3 linked regions of the Neurospora crassa OR74A genome follow. The protein of the gene in region 1 interacts with the protein of each later gene in a pairwise test. Links are inferred from orthologs where the notes say so. Each region holds a gene or a part of one and is shown in the gene's direction. Other genes may lie near its edges.

What was found. The genes of interacting proteins can lie anywhere in the genome.
Region 2: the proteins of NCU09721 (region 1) and NCU09688 interact in binary tests that used the Saccharomyces cerevisiae proteins (3 or more experiments, as listed by UniProt). The link is inferred for Neurospora crassa OR74A from reciprocal best matches to the Saccharomyces cerevisiae genes APL2 and APM1.
Region 3: the proteins of NCU09721 (region 1) and NCU10618 interact in binary tests that used the Saccharomyces cerevisiae proteins (3 or more experiments, as listed by UniProt). The link is inferred for Neurospora crassa OR74A from reciprocal best matches to the Saccharomyces cerevisiae genes APL2 and APS1.

What each region holds. Positions count from the first base shown.
Region 1 is NC_026507.1:1,361,008-1,365,071, forward strand, and holds the start of NCU09721 (AP-1 complex subunit beta-1), read left to right. Parts: upstream 1-1,262; 5' UTR 1,263-1,630; coding exon 1,631-1,863; intron 1,864-1,925; coding exon 1,926-3,309; intron 3,310-3,366; coding exon 3,367-3,999; 3' UTR 4,000-4,064. Other genes in the region: NCU09722 (hypothetical protein), read left to right, coding at 1-371. UniProt on the Saccharomyces cerevisiae protein: Adaptins are components of the adaptor complexes which link clathrin to receptors in coated vesicles. Clathrin-associated protein complexes are believed to interact with the cytoplasmic tails of membrane proteins, leading to their selection and concentration.
Region 2 is NC_026505.1:834,206-838,371, reverse strand, and holds NCU09688 (AP-1 complex subunit mu), read left to right. Parts: upstream 1-1,355; 5' UTR 1,356-1,747; coding exon 1,748-1,786; intron 1,787-1,867; coding exon 1,868-1,996; intron 1,997-2,133; coding exon 2,134-3,231; intron 3,232-3,309; coding exon 3,310-3,390; 3' UTR 3,391-3,816; downstream 3,817-4,166. UniProt on the Saccharomyces cerevisiae protein: Component of the adaptor complexes which link clathrin to receptors in coated vesicles. Clathrin-associated protein complexes are believed to interact with the cytoplasmic tails of membrane proteins, leading to their selection and concentration.
Region 3 is NC_026505.1:1,564,217-1,568,398, reverse strand, and holds NCU10618 (AP-1 complex subunit theta-1), read left to right. Parts: upstream 1-1,371; 5' UTR 1,372-1,812; coding exon 1,813-1,823; intron 1,824-1,888; coding exon 1,889-1,922; intron 1,923-2,004; coding exon 2,005-2,122; intron 2,123-2,189; coding exon 2,190-2,464; intron 2,465-2,636; coding exon 2,637-2,666; 3' UTR 2,667-3,768; downstream 3,769-4,182. Other genes in the region: NCU04596 (gamma-cysteine synthetase regulatory subunit), read right to left, coding at 1-256, 437-462. UniProt on the Saccharomyces cerevisiae protein: Component of the adapter complexes which link clathrin to receptors in coated vesicles. Clathrin-associated protein complexes are believed to interact with the cytoplasmic tails of membrane proteins, leading to their selection and concentration.

The sequences.
Region 1 (4,064 bases):
CCGTGAAGGACGGAGAGAAGAGCTGGGGACTGGGTGATGGCGGGAGGCCCAGGAGGAGGGCGGCGGCTAAGGTGAAGAGTCTGAAGCTTGAAAGTGACTCTGAAGATCAAGAGGAAGAGGACGAAAGTGGGGATGGAGCGGACAAGAAGGAAAAGAAGGAAAAGAAGAAGAAGAAGAAGAAGGCCGAAAAGGAGGGTAGCGGTGATGAAGATGGAGACGATGATGATGATGAAGTTGAAGAGGACGACGAAGATGACGATGACGAGGACGAGGACGACTCAGAAGATGCGGAGCCAAAGGCAAGGGTGAGAGGCCCAGCCAAGCACAGGGCGGATTTCGCTTTCTTGGGCTCTGAGAGCGAGTCTGATTAAGTCACGGTGATTGATATGGAGCAAGCAAGACCCAGTGTCTTGGATCACCACTACTTCTTCATGGTTATGTTATGGGCGTGTACGATTCAACGAGATGTTTTATACCCTTTTGGTTTTGTATGACTATTTATCAAGGTACGCAATGGGCGGAGAATATGGCACATTGGAGGCAGGTTCTCAGTTTCGGAATTACTTTGTGGCGTTCATTCTTTGAGCTATCAAGCTGAAGACTGCGACGGAGCTTAGGAACAGGACGGCGTTGTAGAACTAGTAGTATCATGTTAGGTGGTCTTGGGGTTAAACAGCAGCACCGGAATATGACGTACTGCTTTTCTGGACACGTCTCTTTCTTCACTGTCCGTCCTGGCCTCGATGAAGAGGCGACGCAAGTTGGGAAAGTTGGCCTGTTGTGATTCAAGGTTCTCAGTCTTAGCAACATGTTTAGGGGATCTCAACAATGAGGGTTAGTCTTGTGGACAATTACCATTGTTTCGCCTCTGCCAGTTGACACTTGAGACGTTGATGCTGGTGATAGGTCGTACTTTTGAAGATATGGGAAGGTGATTTAAGTCCTAGTAAAAAAGGGAGGATGTGTCTAAGCTGCAATATCGCCGAATAATCAGTCGCTTCTCCAGTGTACTGGGAGTGGATGGTCCTCCGTCGTCACGGCCAAGCACAACCATCATCATCGTCCTCGTCGCCAAGTGCCAAGCCACAGCTGCCAGATGGGATCGAATGCCCCAAAGACGGCACTGTGGCTGAAGCTCTCCTTTACGGCGGGGCACCTCGCTAGCAATGAAGGACCCTGTGAGTGGGGCAACTCACAACAAGGTTCACGCCAAGACGCTCTGGCCTGTCGCTGCAGTGACTTGGAGGACACCACAGTTGAACCACAGCTGAACCACAGTGGCCGCTATTCAGCGCGTACCTATCACTGGACATCTGCCCGTCCACATCATCGTCGTGATCCATCCCGTCCTGACACCAGCGACGACGCGGCGACCTGATCCAAAGCTGGAGCACGCCCTCGACAACAGCACGCTGCCTCACAGCCGGCCAGGTTGCACTTTTGTTTCACGACTACCGGTACCTACGCGATCAACATACCAAAGCATCCGTGTATGCGCCATTCCACGACCACCCGTTGAGGCGCCATCTCCTTTGTCAAAGCTCGAGGTTTCACCGCCCGATCTCGACCTTGTCAGCACCTCCACCACTGCTTGTCCTCCCTGAGCGCGCAGAACAGCAACGCCTTCGCAATGTCAGCTATCAACCGCATTAGGGGTGCGTTTGCGCCGCCGCGCAAGGGCGAAACCTTCGAGCTGCGAGCCGGCCTTGTGTCCCAATATGCCTACGAGCGGAAGGAAGCCATCCAGAAGACCATCATGGCCATGACCCTGGGCAAGGATGTTTCGGCGCTCTTCCCGGACGTCCTCAAAAACATTGCGACCTCCGACCTTGACCAGAAGAAGCTGGTGTATCTCTACTTGATGTGAGCATCAGCTGCCCTCGTCTCTGGCCCCTTCATGAACGAACGCTAACCCCTGAGTCCAGGAACTACGCCAAATCACATCCCGATCTCTGCATTCTAGCCGTCAACACATTCGTACAAGACTCGGAAGACCCGAACCCCCTCATTCGAGCGCTGGCGATTCGAACAATGGGCTGCATCCGTGTCGACAAAATGATCGATTACATGGAGGAGCCGCTACGAAAGACGCTACGAGACGAGTCCCCCTACGTACGCAAGACCGCCGCCATCTGTGTCGCCAAACTGTTCGATCTCAACCCCACAATGTGCATCGAGAACGGCTTCCTGGAGACACTGCAAGAGATGATTGGTGATCCCAATCCCATGGTTGTGGCCAACTCCGTCCAGGCCCTGTCCGAAATCCACGAAACTGCCCCCGAGACCAGGGCGCTTGTCCTCACACCCGCGACCCTAAAGAAGCTGCTTATGGCGTTGAACGAGTGCACGGAATGGGGGAGGGTCACCATTTTGACAACACTAGCCGAGTACACTGCCCATGACGTCAAGGAATCGGAACACATTTGCGAAAGAGTAGCGCCCCAGTTCCAACACGTCAACCCCAGCGTGGTTTTGGCTGCCGTCAAGGTCGTCTTTACCCACATGAAGGCTCTCAACCCCAAGACAGTGAGCGCTTACCTGAAGAAGATGGCTCCTCCTCTGGTAACGCTCATCGCTTCTGCTCCTGAGGTTCAGTATGTCGCGCTGCGCAACATTGACCTTCTGCTGCAAGCCAATCCCGATATTCTTAGCAAGGAGCTGAGGGTATTCTTCTGCAAATACAACGACCCCCCGTACGTCAAGCTCCAGAAGCTTGAAATCATGGTCAGGATAGCAAACGACAAGAACTTTGATCAACTACTTTCCGAGCTCAAGGAGTATGCCCTTGAAGTCGACATGGATTTCGTCCGGAGAGCTGTCAAGGCCATCGGTCAGGTCGCCATCAAGATTGAGGCCGCTAGCGAAAAGTGCGTCAACGCGTTGCTTGATCTAATCTCCACCAAGGTCAACTATGTTGTGCAAGAGGTTATTGTCGTCATCAAGGACATCCTCCGCAAGTATCCCGGATATGAAGGTGTCATTCCGACTCTCTGCAAGTACATCGACGAGTTAGATGAGCCCAACGCCAGGGGTGCCTTGATCTGGATTGTTGGAGAGTATGCTGAGAAAATCAACAACGCCGATGAAATTCTGGAAGGGTTCGTCGAGGGTTTCTTGGAAGAGTTCACGCAGACCCAATTGCAGATTCTTACCGCTGTGGTCAAGCTGTTCCTGAAGAAACCCAGCAACACCCAAGGCCTAGTACAGAAGGTCCTCCAGCAAGCCACGGCAGACAACGACAACCCCGATATCAGAGACCGTGCTTATATCTACTGGCGTCTCCTCTCTGGCGATCTCGATGTTGCCAAGGTTTGTCACAATTCCTACCCCCTGAATATGTAAACATTGACTAACTTGCGTTCATAGAGCATTATTCTCTCTCAAAAGCCCGCCATCACGACAACAGTAACATCCCTCCCTCCCGTCCTCCTCGAGCAACTTCTTTCCGAGCTTTCCACTCTCGCCTCCGTCTACCACAAGCCTCCCGAGTCGTTCGTCGGCAAGGGCCGTTTCGGCGCCGACGAGATCCAGCGCGCCGCCATCCAAGAACAGCGCCAAAACGCCGCCGAGAACCCCATTGCCGCGTCAGTCGCTGCTGCTGCCAAAGGTGGCCAGCAGAACAACGTTGAGAATCTTCTCGACATCGATTTTGACGGCGGCGCTCCTGCCAGCGCAGAGCACGGTGGCGGTGTCGGCACACCAGATCGGTTTGGCAGCCCGGCCAACGTCGGTGGTCTTCCCGGTGCGCCACCGCAACCCAGTGGCGGCATGGCGGATATCATGGGGCTTTTCGATGCACCACCGCCCATGCCGTCGGCGTCTGCTGCAACTTCGCCGGCTGCTGCAGGCGGGATGGGTGACATGATGAGCTCGTTTGCAGGCATGGATCTTAGCGGGACGAGTGCGCCGCCGCCGCCTGGTCAGCAGCTGGGGCATCCGGCTAGTCAGACTCCTCCCAAGAGTGGTGGAGGTAGCGAGGATCTGCTTGGGTTGTTCTGATGGAAGAAGTCATGATTGGATGAGTATGGTGTCACTATAATAGCATGGTAGTTGGGGTTGGTGAT
Region 2 (4,166 bases), on another chromosome or scaffold:
CACGACTGGTCGACTGGCTCACGCCGGCGAGGAACGAAAAAAACCACCACTACCAGCGCCACGGGATTGGGAGCACCATGAGCACTAGCTGATCATCACGTGCGGATTTTGGCGTTTCTTGGGAGCTGAGCCGGTGAAACGCTCCTGACTGCGGCACCGACTCCGGCATTGACTTTCGGCAGTGTGTGTGTGGTGATATCGATCACTAATCAACCGGAGAGTGAGAGCATGTCGAGTGCAACGGGCCGACTGAACAGGTCCGCTTCCAAGTTTTCGTCCGTCATCCGTCCCCTCCGGCCAAGGAACGAAGGAATGGCTGCTCCGATCCCAAACACAAGATTTACCGGCCGGCCGGCGTGGACAGACCGCAACACGGGTGGGTGGGTGTCCGACGGCGTAAAACGATAATAAAATATAGCGCTTTGCGCGCGACACAACGATCAACGTCAAGACACACAAAAAGGTTCAAAACACCAAGAAAAAAAACAACTTCTACGATGATGGAATGTGTGGAACCTCTGACGCCGCCCTAGTAATTTTGGTCATCTTCCCAAAGGCAGACAACATACATGGGCAGCTCTTATGGAGCCATTTGAAGAAATCAATCCCCTTCTTCTCCGCGTCGCGAAATCGCAGAATCACCATAGGACACGGTTCGAACCCCGACAGAATGCCGGAGCCGATGTGCATTTGCGATGTTCGGCACTGTCTGAGGACGCGTTGAAGAAAAAAAAAGAGGAGAAAAAGGTGCAAGATTGAAAACGACGGAAGGGTTTCTCTAAAATACTTGCGAGGAGCGGAGGAATTTTGGGTGGATCTGCCAGAGAAGCACAGACCTTTTCTTTTTTTTTTCTTTCTCGAAAGACGGACAAAAGTTCAGCTGGGGCCGATGGGAAAGAGAGTCGAAAGTCTGCCCCACTTCCTTCCATCGGAACACTTGAGTTGTTGGGTCTTGCGCCGACGACGATGACCTAGAGAGCTCGAGCAGCTGGACTGGAGACCAATTAACCCCGATTCTCTGATGATGCTCCCGTCACGGAAATGAAATGGCAGCATCATGATGGAATGGAAAATGTTCACCTTCGACCCTGCCAAGACTTACCAAGCCTTTCCCTCTTGGGTGTGGATGTGACTTAGCGAGCCTGGCAAGGCTACGGGGACCAGCTGACCGACAGCTGGAGCTGAAGAAGGTTCCACGTCGAGACTTGTCACAAAGGGGCGGAAGCTCGCTGACCACGAGTGCTTGGCATTGCTGCTTGGTGCTGTGAGCTCTGTTCTGGGCTGCAGTGGCATTGCTGGCCGCCAGGGTGTTCTTGGCCTGTGCTTTTCGAGATCTGGATGCACCATCGCTTCCATGTCACCACTTGTCGCGACGTATTGATAGCGACAACTGCACACACTCGTCTTCAGTTGCAGGATAGGTATCGTGGCTTGCCCGCGCTACACCTTTGATAAACAACAACGACTGTGATACTTTGTTTGCAGTTCTTGACCCTCAGCTCCTCGACAGGATTTCAACCACCTACGGCGCATGTTATAGCCCATTGACGAACCGAGTTCGAACTCACTTTTGGCGCTCGCGCCTACCATACTCGATTACCCCCCCTAATCGTAGCTTGCGCCTTGTATTACCAGTGCCCCTCCTCCGTTTCCGTCAACACCTTCTCCTCGACCACGACGCCGACGACGACAACAACAACTCTCTACACTCAATCTCCTCAGACAACAACAGACACCACAGCTTACCATGGCGTCCGCCATTTTCTTTCTAGATCTCAAGGGCAAGGTGGGAAAATGCTCATCTGGTGGTGTCGCAAAGTCCACAGCAAAGCATCCAAAGCTGACCGCCCAATGCGCCCTCACTTAGACCCTCCTTGCCCGTAACTACCGCGGTGATATTCCCATGTCGGCCGTCGAAAAGTTCCCTATTCTATTAAGCGAAGCCGAAGAAGAGTCGTCCGCCGTACCACCATGCTTTTCCCACGAGGGTATCAACGTATGTTATCTACAAGCCCGTCGTCGTCGTCGTCCACCCTGCTGCTGCTGCTGCTGCTGCTGCTGCTGCTGCTGTTGCGAGAACCTCTTGGGCCACAGATTTGCTGAACACTTTCTTCGGTCATTTAATATATATAGTACCTCTACATCCGCCATAATAACCTGTACCTTCTCGCCCTCACAAAACGCAACACCAACGCCGCCGAGATCCTGCTCTTCCTGCACAAGATCGTCGAGGTCTTCACCGAGTACTTCAAAGCGTTGGAAGAGGAATCGATCCGGGACAACTTCGTCATCATCTACGAGCTCCTGGACGAGATGATGGATTTCGGCTACCCGCAAACGACCGAGTCCAAGATCCTGCAGGAGTACATCACCCAAGAGTCGCACAAGCTCGAAATCCAAGCGCGCCCGCCCATCGCCGTCACCAACGCCGTCTCATGGCGATCCGAAGGCATCCGCTACCGCAAGAACGAAGTGTTCCTCGACGTGATCGAATCCCTCAACCTGCTGGTCTCGGCCAACGGCAACGTCTTGCGCTCCGAAATCCTCGGCGCCATCAAAATGAAGTGCTACCTCTCCGGCATGCCCGAGCTGCGCCTGGGCCTAAACGACAAAGTCATGTTCGAGACCACGGGGCGCACCACGCGGGGAAAGGCCATTGAGATGGAAGACGTCAAGTTCCACCAGTGCGTACGCCTGTCGCGCTTCGAAAACGACCGCACCATCTCCTTCATCCCGCCCGACGGCGAGTTCGAGCTCATGTCGTACCGCTTGAACACCCAAGTCAAACCCCTGATCTGGGTCGAGTGCGTGGTCGAGTCCCACTCCGGTTCGCGAATCGAGTACATGCTCAAAGCGCGCGCGCAGTTCAAGCGCCGCTCGACGGCCAACAACGTGGAGATCATTGTGCCGGTCCCCGACGACGCCGACACGCCCCGGTTCCGGACGAACGTGGGGAGCGTGCACTACGCGCCCGAGAAGAGTGCCATCGTGTGGAAGATCAAGCAGTTTGGTGGCGGCAAGGAGTTTTTGATGCGCGCGGAGCTGGGTCTTCCTAGTGTGAGGGGCGACGATGAGCACGGCGGTGGCATGACGGGTGGATTTGGTGGCAGTATGGGTGGTGTCGGTGCCCCCGGGAAAGGAGCCAAGAGGCCGATTCAGGTCAAGTTTGAGATTCCATATTTCACCACGAGTGGGATTCAGGTGCGGTATTTGAAGATTACGGAGCCAAAGGTAAGACTTTTTTTTTTCTTTCTTTACCCATGTTTCTTCTAGCACCTGTGGCTGCTAGTTACTGACGATTTGAAACAGCTACAATACCCCTCCTTGCCTTGGGTCAGGTACATTACGCAGTCAGGAGATATCGCCGTCAGATTGCCCGACGCGGTATGAACGACGAGGACTTGGATACGGGCAAGAAGAAGCCTTGTTTTTTTTCTTCAAAACAAACGACAGATCGTGGAACAGAAAACCTACAATTTACCTACCAGCTGGGTGGGGCATGAAAGGGAGCGGCCGCAGAACAGGTATTAATTCTGGCTGCCTCATTGAACACATTGGCCTGTCCTCAGTCCCTGCCCCCAGGTCGACGAGATATGCCCTACCCAGAACGACATCCCAGGTCGTGGCTCCGATGTACAGATGGGGTAAAAGGAGAGAAGAGACTTATGGCGTATGTATAGTAATGATGGCCCTGACACGACATGGATGGACTAAGTAGAAGGGAGAAGCGGTTGGTTTATAGGTAGATGATGCGTAGGTGCCACACACCGCAACATGACGTCCATGTCAAACAATATTCGATATAATATTTCTGCATGAACACAGTCCTGTCAAGTGGTGGTCGAAGAAGTTGGAAAAGTTGGACACGCGTGAATCAGATCAGTGTGCCCGGGTCGTCATCCTCGAGTGCAAGGATGGATTGATGGGCGGTCCTGATTTGGCATGCCTATAGCCACCCGTCTCCACCTTTACTGTGGAGGAACTGAAAAGGGAAAACAAATTATTTTTCAGACCCCCACGTGTACAGGAGACTGGCAACGTTAAAGGAAGACAGGATGCCAAAAAAAAAAAAAAAAAAAAAAAAAAAAAAAAAAAAAAAAAAAAAAAAAACCTTCTCTCGATGGCCTATGTTACCGTATGCAACCGATTTCCACGATAAGGCTCAA
Region 3 (4,182 bases), on another chromosome or scaffold:
TTGCGCCGTCCAGTAGAGCGGGCCTGCTACGGGGTCGGTAGTGTTGCTATCGCCATTTGTGGCTTCGTGGACGCCATTGCTGGTGCCATTGGTCGTAGTCGTCGTCGTCTTCGTCGTTCCATTCGCGTTCAGGTTCTCAATCTCGTCGGCGTAGTCTAGTTGCGCATCTTGGAAGCTGACTTTCAGAGAGTTTACGAGTTCGAGGTTGGATGCGCCGGGCTTGCGAACAATGGAGGGCCCGCCGGAAATGATGTTTCTGAAGGAGAAAAAAAAGTTCGAGCACGCAATTAGTGATTGGGTCTAAGAGATGGCTATCTTGCCTATTTTCGAGCGAGGTCGCACAGCTAGGGACAAGAGACAAACCATATGGCCTGCCCTGCCCTACACCATCATACTTGAGACCGGAGCCACACAATGAAGAGAAGGACGGACATACCCGGTAGAAAGTATTAACTTGGTCATGACTGCTAAGGATGTTGACGACCTTTTTTTTTCTTTTCTTTTGGAAATGGGTAGAAAAAAGTTAAAACGCTGGCCAGGCGCAAGACGAATCTCTCTACCTCTTGAACTTTGGACTAGATAGTGGGGTACGACTTATTTGGTTCAATGGAGCCTAGAACCGATTATTAATGATTTACTGGCATGGGTCCGGGGGTGGTTCGATTCGGGAGTATGAAGGTACCTTTTGTAAGCTTGTGATGATATGTATCACCACAAACGCCGATGGTAGGGTGGTGTTGCCAGAGATAGGCAGCTGTAACGACACAGGGGAACATCAGTTTGGAAAAGTATGAATATCCGTCGTCGACCAAGAACATAACCCAGGATAGAGGTTAGACGGAGTTTTCGCAATGTGGGATGTCCGCAGACCATAAATCGGAGAGGTCATCATCCGACTCTCGGATTTTGACCTTGCGCTAGGTGAAGCATGGCTCTACACGCAACTCCCAGGGAAGGCGCCATGAGCAAGAACAAGTGCGGACTCTCAAGCAAGTTTGTCAGAGTCGGAGATGCACGTCGCGGACATTGCCGAGAATGTCAACGGCAGCTATGCCAGCTTCGGCATCTGATGACTGTCGGTTGCGTTCTCAACCACACTTTGGTGTAGATATGCGCGGGATGCCGTAGAAGGAGAAGAAAGCAACAGCCAACCAGAAGGTCTGACAGGAACGGGATGTCTTGTTAGGTGAGGAACTGCCCGGTGAACGTGGGGAGCCTTGTACTTCTCCCACGATTAGTAGGTCATGTTCGCTTGTTGCAGCCACCAACACTGAGGAAGAGAACTAGTTGAGTCATGCCGGCAGAAGATGATAGAAAAATGAACCAGACGCCCGCTACGACTGAGGGGGTTTAATGAGAAAAGGGCTTCCCTTTTGATCCGTCCTTGAGATTTTGTGTGCGTTAAGTGGTTTGCCCAGCAACATGGGATCAGCAGAAGATAAAAAGTCAATCAACTCAATTGTCGTTAGGTACATAGACAGTTAGACGATCAACGAACTCCCATGTTAAGCCTCGATCAACTCAGGAGCACATCATCCACTATAAGACCACTAAAGAAGCCTCTGAAAACGAGAAGTGCCAGATGCACTAATAGTCTCTAGGATCGGGTAGAGCCCCACTTGCCTTGGGTCTGGTTCTTCAGGCACATTGGACGGCCGTCGTCCCGCCCCTTTGGACAGCTCCAGGCGGGAGGAGTCCAGGCTGTCGGCGTGGTGTCCTTGTCAAATTTCCCGCCCGTGACAACACCTCCATGATCACATTGTCGACTCCCGCTCAACGTGATCCCGGGTAGTTGATGGAATCATCGTCATCATGGCTATTCAGTATGCGCCCGACAGTCGCCATCTTGCTATTCACAATGAAGTCAAGCTGACCCGGAGCTCTGCAGCTATCTAATCCTCCTCTCGCGCCAGGGCAAAGTGGTGCGTCTTGCCCGCCGCGGGCGTTGCTCTCGTCCCCAACCACGCTGTCCTTCTCCCGACTAACCGCACGTCAAATATCCAGCGCCTGGCCAAATGGTTCACCACTCTGTCTCCCAAGGACAAGGCCAAGATCGTCAAGGACGTTTCCCAGCTTGTCCTGGCTAGGAGGACTCGCATGTGCAACTTTCTCGAATACAAAGGCAAGCTCCGCCAATTCTCCTGGATCGCAACATAGGGCTAACTAACTGTCTTTTTGCTCGTCTGCAGATACCAAGATTGTCTACCGCCGATATGCCTCGCTTTTCTTCATCGCCGGATGCTCCTCCGAGGACAACGAGCTGATCACCCTCGAGATCATCCATCGCTATGTCGAGCAGATGGACAAGTACTACGGCAACGTCTGCGAGCTCGACATCATTTTCTCCTTTACCAAAGCCTACTACATCCTCGACGAGCTCCTGCTGGCGGGAGAGTTGCAGGAAAGCAGCAAGAAGAATGTCCTACGATGCATATCGCAACAAGACGCCTTAGAGGACATGGAGGTGCGTACAAGCATTTGACTTGGAGCCGTGACCGCTTGCCCGGACAGAATTTGCCTTCTTCCCGCGTCGCTACGCCTACACGCTCCCCCCCCCCCCCCCCCCCCCCCCCCCTTGTTGCAATCCCTATCCGTAAACCACCGCGCTCACTGACACGTTTATTGCACTTCCTCAGGTCGAGGATGAAGTCACAAAGATCATGTAAAGGCTGATCAAGCTTTGTGGTGTCTTTTTCTCTCCATCATCACGACCGACCGAACCGGGTCCCCTCAAACACTTGCGATTGCCAATGGTCGACATTTATTTACCCCAACAGCATACGCTAATGCATACCTTTACCTCCTGATGCAGGATTTGGAAGAAATAAACAACGCACTCAAGCAGGCCGGGATTCTCTGAAGCTGTGGTAGCGACCACAGTCCCTCCGATAGGTGACGGCACCGGATGGACAGACGAGAGGGGCGACCCGAAGCACGAGAGTACAGCATATGCAACCAGGGAGGACAATAATAATCGCGCCGAGAGAAGGGGAAGCAGAGTGTGGTGTGGTGGCAGGAAGTCGGGGCTACAGTCACCCATTAGGAGGGAGCAAACTCCCTTTCCTTAATCATATAGATATGGGCATTGTAGATTAATGAGCTGCCAAAACTGAGCCACTCGGAGACCGGATACACCACTAGTGTCCTAATCATGGACGATGATGGGAGGAAACCAAGTGGAATGCGTATCCGGTACACTGGGCATGGCCTCGGCGATGTGCTTAATGATAACAACGATTCAACGACGCGTTGCCAACACCGATCCATCTGTTCATGACCTCACACATCGGGTGTATGCGCAGAAACAGATCGATTCGCTCGGGAGACGTTGGGGTGGCGTTACCTTGATGCCCACCAAGGAAAGGTTTGTCCACATCGACGTTGGAAGCAACGCTCGTGGAGGGTTGAGACGACTCTATTCGTCAGGTGGTTGTGGTTGACAATTAACATTGATGAGCAGCATTCAGGCCGGGACACACATTGACACACAGGAAGTGGAACGCACTGCGATTACTGACTGGAGGCTTCCAGGCGGAACGGCGGAGGGGAGTGAGTGGGAATGGAGACTTGGTGGTGACAAGGGAACGCCGATCACTTAGGGGGTGCGACTCCACCCGACTCGAGGAGCCAGCGGCGCATGACCGGGGTTTAGGCGGGTCGACCCCAGCAATCCCCAGCGAGCCAAGGCCAACGTGGGCTGGCGCAAGCAGGCCACTCACCCGAAAGGCCACCCACCTGTTACTGTCAGCGTCAGCGAACCGGCTCTGGCCCTGATGGCACGGCTTGGAAGGAACGTCAGATAGGTAACGAGCCATCGATGGAAAGCGAGACCGCAGCCGGGGCACCAAGGGAACATATCAATGACCAACAAGAGGACTGACTGGAGCCAAGCTGAACACAGAAGAAGCATGATGGCTGTACACTCACTATACCGACCCGATAACCGGCGGTCCCCTTGGATTCAATTCGGATGGATTGGAAAGAACATCATACACTACATGTATGGGATTTATCCAAGTTGTCCCTCCTCCCACTTTTCCCACTTTTTGTTTCCCAAACTGATCTGAACCTCACTTCAACTAAACAGCAGGACATCACTCGATATATGACGATATCGTCACCCCTATTTCTCCTCACGCTAAACTTACATCAACATCAACAACATCAAAAACCCCACTTCTA